Arabidopsis thaliana: one gene and its partners. The protein of the gene in region 2 interacts with the protein of the main gene of each other region in a pairwise test. Each region holds a gene or a part of one and is shown on either strand. Other genes may lie near its edges. The genes, in order: AT1G34640, AT4G03600 and AT1G16170.

Region 1 (3,163 bases), on a different chromosome or scaffold from region 2:
AAATAGGGCTTGGACTTGTCTACTATTCCGCACTTTTGAGACATGCAACATACCGCTTGTGGCCATAGCAACAGTACAAACGAAAGCCATTCTCATCACATATCATTGTTAATATAATACCTAACGTTAGGCTTCTCCTGCAGTTCCCAACAGGTCTGGCTTTAGCTATTGAGAAGAAAAGCAGAAGGATAGAGATATCACTATACTGCTTAGCGAGGGCGATAGAGAGCTTCTTTACTTGCATGACAGAGGCAGGATACATTCGACCGCCCAAGAGTTTAAGAAGAGCGGATGTGGTTGTGTTCAGCGTTTCGACAGCCATTATAATGCATTGTTACGCACAAGAAAGAGACGTATTTCGATCAAAATACTTGAACGTACTAGATTGGGTCTTCGGTGTTCCTCCTCCCCCTCCTGCTCCTTCTTGCGAAACAACCTAGAGACATTCACTTTTAACCTAAAGATCTTTCTGATGTGGGACAGAATTTGGTGGTAGAATGCTCATTTAGAGTCTCTAGGAGTTTTGTTTTGGGTCAATTTTGTATACCACAATCCATTTGACAATTTTTGTCCATCTTATGTGGACACACCAATATGTAATCTGGTAGTCTTACATGTTCTACAAAGTTAAAATAAAACGAAGCTAAATATTTTGTTAATCAACAACACTAAACCATAAAAAAGATGGACCAAGTAAATACAATATGGCTTCAATAATTTGATACGAACATCCACCACCTATACACTGCATATCCATAGACCGTGCCGTATAAAACCATCCTCATAGGGTACACTCTAAACCTGCATTACTTGGTCCAAAGATGTATCCATTATCCATTAATTAGGCCAGTAAACCAAACCAAAATTTGGATCTAACAATTAAAATCAATAGAAAATATTCACGAAAATAAACAAATTCAATCATAACTTGTACACCTAATTCGTAGATATACAATAATACATACATTGCAAATGGAACCTAACATTGTATGTATGGTTTGAGATTCGCTCTTTTGAATCCAAATTAATATCGGTTGACAAAAAAAAAATTGTATGTATGATTTATGTTTATCCAATAGGTTTTAAGGCAATAAAGCTAAACCAAAATTTAGATCTAATAATTCAAAGATTAATATATAATGATATGATAAAACAACTAGTTTGATATTGAGATAAGATAAACAAGTAACCTTGAAGGATGAGATTTGCGGGCGAGAGCGGCTGATCTTTCCTCGGCGGTGACAGGATAGCCCCACCGAGAGAAACTCCGATCAAAGAAGTCCCAATCCGGCAAAAGTATGCCGCCAATAAGAGAAATACCGACGGCGTAAGTAACAACCGTCTTCTTTAAAGACTGTGTCCATAACCATACAACTACCATCACCACTGCAAGACCTACCATTGATGATCTTAGTGCTGCTTCGTTTCCCATTATGGCTAAGAGAGAGTAGATAGCTTATATTTAAAACGGGATTAGTTGAAGTTGCTTTATAACAGTGTAAACATGGAAAGAAGATTCACAGATTATGTAGGATGTAGGAGAAAGATTTCATTTATGTGTTAAAGATAATATTTAATGGATTTTTTTATATAGGGTATATTCTTTTGGAAAAATGCGTGGCAATCAATTGAATTGAATGCCGCCATAAATGTGGTAATGTCCCAACCGTATTTTTGGATCCAAGTTTTTGTGTTTGTTCAGTTTTATCTTTATTTATGGTTTTGATCATAGAGTAATTAGAATTATACCGAAAAATTAGGAAAAAAAAGATAAATTTTGGAATGACAAGAAGGAATTCACAAACTTTTCTTTATTTTTAATTTTTTGTAGTGTAAATGTAAAAACGGATAATTTGGTATGAAAGAATTATACCGAATTGCATCATACCATATATATAAACAATATCTCTCGGATTAACTCTTTGAATTCTAATTAATATCGGTTGCCAAAAAAAATTTGTAGAATAAAATGACATAATCATCAAGCGGGACAGAAATTATTTTTAACTTTCACAAGCATAAGATTATATGAGTACGTTGTACTTTAAACATAAGACAACAAAAAAATCTTATCATATTTTTGAGGTAAAAAAAATTATAAAATTGACCAAACAATGTGTTATACATATGAAATTTACTATTTATTATTTATTTGTTATCTCATTTAATATTATGTTATAATTTTAAATTGATAAACTTAAATTTTGAATCCTCAATATTTAATTAACTTTACCAATCAAACTCTACATCTACAACCAACACATGTAATCATACAACAAAAAGTTTATAGCTACTGCCGAACAACAGTAAAAAGGAAAGTTACTACTCAACCAAACACCCACATAATTGGTTACTAACATAAATTTTGTTTTGATAGTTGGCATCGTTAGTAATAACCTCAAACTTTTCTTTTCTTTTCGCCAAAAAGTAATAACCTCAAACTACGAATGTCGTTTTGTAAATGAAGATTTCTAATTTTTTCCTATAAATGTGAAAACAAAGTAAATACTCTTTTTCATTGATAGTATATTAGTATCTAAAGCATTAATCTTACAAAGGTTGTTAGATCTATATAAATTCAGAAACAATTTTTTAAAATCCGAAGCCACAAAACTACGCATTGACAAAGGACAAGTTTAAGTCCCTTGGTAGAAACAAATGACGTCGACTATTTCTATTGTTAAATAGCGACGAGATTAAGCCCTCATATATATGCGGCTAAATAGCAACACCATGTTTCTTTTACACATGTTTTTCTATGAACTTGCTACAAAAGTTCATGAGAAAGTGTGGTCACATCTTAATAATATCTATTCCTCGGTAACTATTTTAGTCTATATCTACTAACCAATATTTGAATATTTTCTCAGTAACAAAGTAAAATATAATACTGATTCCCCCAATGGTACTGTGATGCCACATTGCTAAACACTCAATTAAGTTTGGTTTTGATACCCCTTATAACATCATGATCGCCAATGTTTATTTACCATCAATTACAGTTTTGACCTACAAATCTCATCCTCGTTATTCGACCAGTGCACTTCTACATGTAAGGTTGATAGACTTGTTTACTAGTCTTGTTGATCATCACAAGATATTTTTATGTGTTTTGTGAATTCTTGCACAATACTAAAAATCACAATCTTTATATTGCTTCGCG
Region 2 (3,217 bases):
ATTCTTTTTTTTGCTCAGTTAAAAAAAAAAGTTCAACAATATATGTTCCAAAGACAAAAAGATTCACGCATTTTCATGATTTTAGAGTTCTTAGAATTTTTTGTTATAAAAGGTTTGCAGACATTAATTTTTTTCCCCAAATTAGAGTTTTTAGTTGAGGTATTAGAATTCTTTTTATCAAGAAAGGTACTTATAAAAATAAGTATCAGTGTGTGAAATCCACTACTTCAATGTTGGAATGTTACACCTTCCTCAAGAAGGAATTTGAGTAAGAAAGAAGTTGTGTAACCCATTATTATATGATCTTATCTTCGCAAAACATGCCTCTTCAACTAGTTGATGTAGTTTTAAGCTACTAAAATAATAACCGGGTAACTTAAATAGTGAAAACTGATAACAAACTTAATAGGATATGTAAATCACTTGGTTATTGGTCCATGTGTTGAAATTGTGTGGCAATGAACCCACAAACGGATAACAAATCATGATTTTCAATATCTCAAATGAGAAGTTGTGGGACGATCCATTCTAGATACTAAATGCTGTCATCAAGAAAAATTATCTAACCACAAACAAAAAAAATTGAGCCAATGCATCATGAACTTCTTCATTCTACTACTAACAATTGATTTTCTAAATTAACTTTACATTTACATTCGGGAGTGACTCAAGATAATCTAGATCAAAATTCCCTAAATAATCTAAAAATCAAGAACCTTAATATGAGTCAAAATCTCTTCTAATAAGCAGAAAATAAGCTAAAACAGCACAAAAAGCAGCAACAACATTGCCTTCTTTCAAAAGAACCTTAAACACAAATCCGACAACTTCTCTCGTAATCTTCCTTCCTTCAACCACTAAAACTCTTCTTGATTTCCCAAAGAAGGCAAGCAACACCACCACCGATATCCAAATCACCATCACCGCCGGAACCGCCACCGTCATAGCAGCCACCATCGACATAGCTCCAAACATCGCACCGAGCACCACCGACGCGTATACCGCCGGTAATCTTGAAGGAGAATAATCTGAATTTGATGACGTGTATTGAAGCTTGTACCAGTTAAGAACTGATCTCAGGAGGTTCCATGAAGAAGATACGAGAATTGCGTAGACAGCGATGAAGAGACAAACCCATGTCCGTCTTTTACTCATGATTGTGATGAAGATATGATACGATCTTGGAGATTCTGTTTGATCTGCCATTAGAGATTGGAAGTTCTTGCTTATCGATCGAATCTGTTTTGAGATTTGTCTGCGACTGAGCAAAATAAAATAGAGCAGTTTATGAGAATCCTTACACTCAGTCGTAGCGCGTGTCGTGTACGCTTCTTTGTGAATTTGTTTTTGAGCTGGCAATCGCGTGGTTATGGTTCACACGCGCTTTAATATATTTTTTTTTGTGAAATATGAAAAACATTTGGTCGAATTTGTGAGATAATGAAATGGTAATTGGAAAGATTGTGACTGCATTGTTTTTAATAATTAAGTAAATTTAAATTCTGTGGAAGTATATTTAATCAATAAACTGGAAAAACAAAAGAAAAGATTTCGTTACCATAACGATTTAAATTTAAGATTTTGTTATACAGAAAAAGAAATGTAGAAGATTTTTTTCTAATTTAGAGGAGTCAAACAATGATATATAACAAAAAAAATCACAATCCGGTGGATTTGTGGGGTAAGTCATTAATCTTTTACTATTTTGTTTGGAAAAATTAGTAGTCAATATCATTATGACTACATATATCAGTGTCAAAGACTCAAAGTAATGGCTTAGATATTTTATGTTAATAAAAGGAATATATATACTGTGAAAAAGACAAGTTTGTGTAAGGGATCGCATATAATCTCAACTAATACAATAAACAAAGATATAGCCGTTGGCATTAATCAGCTTTGGCTAGACCAACCAGAAGATCAGAATCTTGAGAAGATGGAGAAGAATCAATCTGATGATGATGGAACGGCTCTGATCTTTCTTGGAACAGGCTGCTCCGGTGCAGTTCCCGATTTCAGATGCTTACTCCAGCCGTCAGATCCTCCTTGCCATGTCTGTTCTCAGTCCCTCTCTTTACTTCCTCACCTTAACCCTAACTACAGGTAAATCTTGTCATCAGTTTCTTCTCTTTGGGTTTTGGTCTTTGAAGCTGTGGAGATTTGTGAAATGTCAAATCTTGTTGCTTTCCGTAAAGACCCTTTTGAAGTTGGGAGTTTTGATTGAAAAAAGAGACATCTACTGTTGTCTATATTCGTGTTGGAGTTTAGGTTTTAATCCATTTTAGGTAAAAATGAACCATCCGATTTCTAGTGTTCTTGGGAAATTATTTCAGATATATTAGGGTTTGGTGAACATTCTTGAATCTTGATTCTCTGTTTTTTGGCAGATGCAATACATCGCTCTTGATTGATTATTGCAGCAAGGAAGAAGATGGTAGACATAAGTACATACTTATTGATGTTGGCAAGAGTTTTAGAGAGCAAGTCCTTCGTTGGTTTACCTTTTATAAGATTCCTCGAGTCGATTCCGTTAAGCCCTTTATATACTTATCTTCTTGATCTCTTGCATCTATTTTTTTCTCTGAAATGAAATCTAACTTTTACTGACTAATGCTTGTATGATTTTGTGTAGATCATTCTAACTCATGAGCACGCAGATGCGGTTCATGGCTTAGATGAAATTCGATCTCTTCAACCTCGTGGTGCAACTATTGTTGATACCGATCCACTTCCCGTCTTTCTATCTCAATTTACAATGGAGAGGTACCATCTTCGATTAGTGTTCTCTATCTCAACTCTGGCTTAAAGCTTTTCAAATTAGCATTTGATGAGACTTTTAAGGCAACAAAAAATTGTGCAGTATTGCTACAAGGTTTCCTTATTTGGTTGAAAAGAAGGTAAAAGAAGTACCTAGACGAGTTTCACTTCTTGACTGGAAAAACATCGAAGAGAATTGTGACGAACCATTCGCTGCCTCGGGCTTATCTTTCACGCCTCTTCCGGTTAAATTTCTTTTCACTTTTGAGAAATCAAAACAGTCTAATTCTTCCATGAGACCTTATAGACTCAACAATGTTAGTTATGCTTTAGGTGATGCATGGAGAGGACTACATTGCTTTAGGTTTCCTCTTCGGCGATAAAAGTAAAGTGGCTTATATATCAGACGTATCACGGATTCCACCGAGTACCGAGTATGGTAAGAGCTCATTATGTTATG
Region 3 (3,764 bases), on a different chromosome or scaffold from region 2:
AGCAGAGAATGATTCTGGAAGCGTGTACAAGAATATTTCAGCCTTTATGTAATGTATATGGTGACAAGAAAATCAATAAGATCACTCGGCAGCAAGTCATCCATCTTTAGCCACAAAGTGTATTTGAAATTCGAAGTTAACATGTACTTTTGAAAATGAAGTGTGGACTTTTGGTGTGACTTGAATGTATTATTTGATGACTGGAAAAACTTACTTGTCTAGGAGTCAACGATGTGTCAGAAAATGTTTGACTTCAAGCATTATGGTTTCAGTTTCAGAGTCTCGACCTGTGTAGGTAGTAGAAGTTATATCCCGCTGCTATCATCATTCCGCTGGTAAGAATTCCCAAATATACAGAAACGCATGAGCTCTAATAAGAGCGCCTAATAGAGGCTTGACATACAACCGGAGGTGACGATCCGACTCAAAACAGTGCACATGTATACTCTCATCTCATCTGATGAAATAAAGTTATCTTTCAATTATGAATCTCTGGTTTTATTTCACCATGTAATAATACACACAAATTGCATTATAGAATAAAGAAGAAAAAGAATGTTTTAGTACAAGAACAATAAATGTGGGGGTTTCAAACTTTCACCGATAGATAAACAGTCTAGAAGAATTTAAGTTTCCCTTTGGAGAGAGCTTGAACAAGTTGTAATTGACACATTGCCTTGTCTTTCCCGGTCAAGCCATAGCAGGACGAGTGCCTAGCGCCTAAAGTGACTGCAAAGTAAAGATAAACAGTACAGAGGAAAGCCAAAAGAGCCAAAGCTGTTAAGAGATATTGATGCCTCTGAATAAGAGTCGACCAGCTACCCAACTCGTCCCACTGCTTCTTTAGACATTGTTGTCTCCTTGACGGTGAAGATACAAGCCCATCAAGAACCATGGCTTTATAATACCAATTAACCTGCAAAAATTGACACACAAGTCGTTTTAACACAATTTTACAAGAAACATAAACATGCTATGAAAAGGAGATCATCACAATCAGATTGAATGTAACATTTGGGAGATCACTTTTCCATCATAAACCATCATAAATGTCAATGAGAAACAAGAATTCGAGACACATATCGCTGTTTTGATTGGTTGTGGAAACGACATTAGTCATAATTATAATTACAAAAGAGCTTGGATCGTATACGAAAGATGAAAATGAAAGCAACAAATTGCCAACAATAACGTCATTCTCAATCAATCATCAATCACAATACACAACAACAACAACTCGCGATCGATGCACATTGGATAATCGAGGGAAACAGATCCGAAGTAGGTGAAAGATTATTAGAAAACGAACCGGTGAGAATCGGTTTAGAGATCTGGAGAAGAAAAAGCTAGATTCCAGCTCCGTCGACAACCCCCGAAATCTTCAGCAGTGTTGTTGCGATATGGAGAGAGAGAGAGAGATGGATCTCCTCCGTAGATTGATGATGGCTCGAGCTGGGCCGATTTGCCGGATACGCCGTACGCGGCTTATTATGTCCGTTACATAAAACGGGAATTTAGGGATTTTATATACAAAACAATAAAAAGATAAAAAATAGGAAAGAAGATATATAAAGAGGACAAAAAAATGATGATGCGTTGTTTGTTAGCTTCCACTCCTTTGTGTTTTGAAGATGATGGGCATGTTGTTAGAATCCGATGATGAGTGATGACATTTACCTAGGACTATGATCTGACTCTTGCAGCTTCCAGAGGGCATTTACGAATACGTATTAAGATAAACTTTTTTAATCATTAACGAGAAGACAACTCATGTTCTAGTAATCACGATAATGTTTAGTACTTTTGTATATTGTATTTGTATGACAGTATGAGGTGTTCAATATTTTGGTTTGCTTCCAACTAAACTAAAAGTCTAAAATACATTGTTTTAGTTGCACTGAAATCCTAATAGACTGAGTTGCCGTTGCCGTGAATCACTTTAGCCGGTTAGCATTTAGCATCCAAACCAAAACTATTTACCCCCAATAGCCTAGAGTTTTTTTTTTATAACTTTTTTCTTTTTCTTTGTAAGGAGACTTGCAAGGTTTTAGTAGAGGTCTATCTTAATCAAAAGCCCATGCATGATAAACAGAAGGAGAAATTAAAATAATTTGGGCCATTAGTGGGCCAAACATGAAAACTTGGTATTGATGGTTTACTAGTTCCTTTGTAAGTTGGTCAAAAGTCCGAAATCAGGAGCGAGATAATAAAGAAACAACGAGTTGTTTTACTTTTCAAGGAGAGGATAGCTCAAGGTTTTTGATCGATCGCAAGGTATTTTGATTCTCTCTTTCTCAAGCGATTTTCGTTTTCCTTCTTTTGTTCCAGAGGTCAAATTCAATCCCTAAAGCTAGGTTTCTCGGGTGAAGCTTTAGATCGGGAGCTATGATTTCATCTCGAATTTGGGGATAAATTTCAGCTTATTTTAACCAATTTCAATTGATTCCAAATAATTCTGTTTATCTCTGAGCAAAATTGATTAATTTTCGATTCGGTCTTTAAAAAGCTGCTTTTCTTACCGTCTCCATCCGAAATTAGTTTTTTTTGTTTGTTTGATGATTTGTGTTTTGATGATTTGTGTTTGCGTTTTGGTTGATACTAGCAGCTGAATATTGAATCCAACCTTTAATCTGAGAGGAGAAAGAAGATGTTTGCAGCTTCTTGTCTCGCATCGTGTTGTGCTGCTTGTGCCTGCGATGCTTGCCGTACTGTGGTTTCTGGGATCAGCAGACGTTCTGCTAGAATTGCTTACTGTGGTCTCTTTGCACTTTCCTTAATCGTTTCATGGATTCTCCGTGAAGTTGCTGCTCCTCTCATGGAGAAGCTCCCTTGTAAGTTTTTTTGTTATTATACTTCTCGTGAGATTATTTTGGTGTATGCAACTAATCATTGACATTGTGTGCAGGGATTAACCATTTTCACAAGACACCTGATCGTGAATGGTTTGAGACTGATGCTGTGTTGCGTGTCAGCTTAGGGAATTTCTTGTTTTTCTCTATTCTATCGGTTATGATGATCGGTGTGAAAAATCAGAAAGACCCTCGTGATGGTATACACCATGGTGGTTGGATGATGAAAATAATCTGTTGGTGCATTTTAGTCATCTTTATGTTCTTCCTTCCAAATGAAATCATCAGTTTCTATGGTAAGTTTCTGTTTATCATTGCAAAGTGATTAGTGAATCGATTAACTTGGAACTAATGGGAATCAATTTTACATCTTGCAGAGTCGATGTCAAAGTTTGGTGCTGGATTTTTCCTGCTTGTTCAAGTTGTACTTCTTTTGGATTTTGTTCATGGATGGAATGACACATGGGTTGGCTACGACGAGCAGTTCTGGTTAGTAAATATATTTGCAATTAAATCATGTGACTTCATTATCCCACTACTAATCTAAGTACTTGACTTTTATATATAGGTATGCTGCTTTGCTCGTTGTTTCTCTTGTATGTTACTTGGCAACATTCGTCTTCTCTGGGTTTCTCTTCCACTGGTTTACTCCATCTGGACATGATTGTGGACTCAACACCTTCTTCATTATCATGACTTTGATATTTGTATTCGTCTTTGCCATTGTAGTTTTGCATCCTACTGTAAGTTTTGACTGAAACCTTATATTTCTCTTATCTGAGATCTTATTTGATTCCCAATTTCAGGCTCACTGAAGTCAAATTAACCTATTCTTTTGCAGGTCGGTGGAAGCATTTTACCAGCATCGGTTATATCTCTGTACTGCATGTACCTCTGTTACAGTGGACTTGCAAG

What was found.
Region 1: the proteins of AT4G03600 (region 2) and AT1G34640 interact in a protein complementation assay, tested with the Arabidopsis thaliana proteins (one large-scale study listed by BioGRID).
Region 3: the proteins of AT4G03600 (region 2) and AT1G16170 interact in a protein complementation assay, tested with the Arabidopsis thaliana proteins (one large-scale study listed by BioGRID).

What each region holds. Positions count from the first base shown.
Region 1 is NC_003070.9:12,686,996-12,690,158, forward strand, and holds AT1G34640 (peptidase), read right to left. Parts: upstream 1,549-3,163; 5' UTR 1,433-1,548; coding exon 1,191-1,432; intron 802-1,190; coding exon 711-801; 3' UTR 557-710; downstream 1-556. Other genes in the region: AT1G34630 (uncharacterized protein), read left to right, coding at 7-73, 144-440.
Region 2 is NC_003075.7:1,603,103-1,606,319, forward strand, and holds AT4G03600 (pyrroline-5-carboxylate reductase), read right to left. Parts: upstream 1,527-3,217; 5' UTR 1,207-1,526; coding exon 718-1,206; 3' UTR 536-717; downstream 1-535. Other genes in the region: AT4G03610 (Metallo-hydrolase/oxidoreductase superfamily protein), read left to right, coding at 1,937-2,103, 2,388-2,529, 2,633-2,763, 2,861-3,002, 3,091-3,196.
Region 3 is NC_003070.9:5,538,258-5,542,021, forward strand, and holds AT1G16170 (ephrin-A3 protein), read right to left. Parts: upstream 1,746-3,764; 5' UTR 1,310-1,745; intron 917-1,309; 5' UTR 896-916; coding exon 617-895; 3' UTR 409-616; downstream 1-408. Other genes in the region: WAKL5 (wall associated kinase-like 5), read left to right, coding at 1-12; AT1G16180 (Serinc-domain containing serine and sphingolipid biosynthesis protein), read left to right, coding at 2,648-2,831, 2,906-3,145, 3,227-3,338, 3,418-3,592, 3,691-3,764.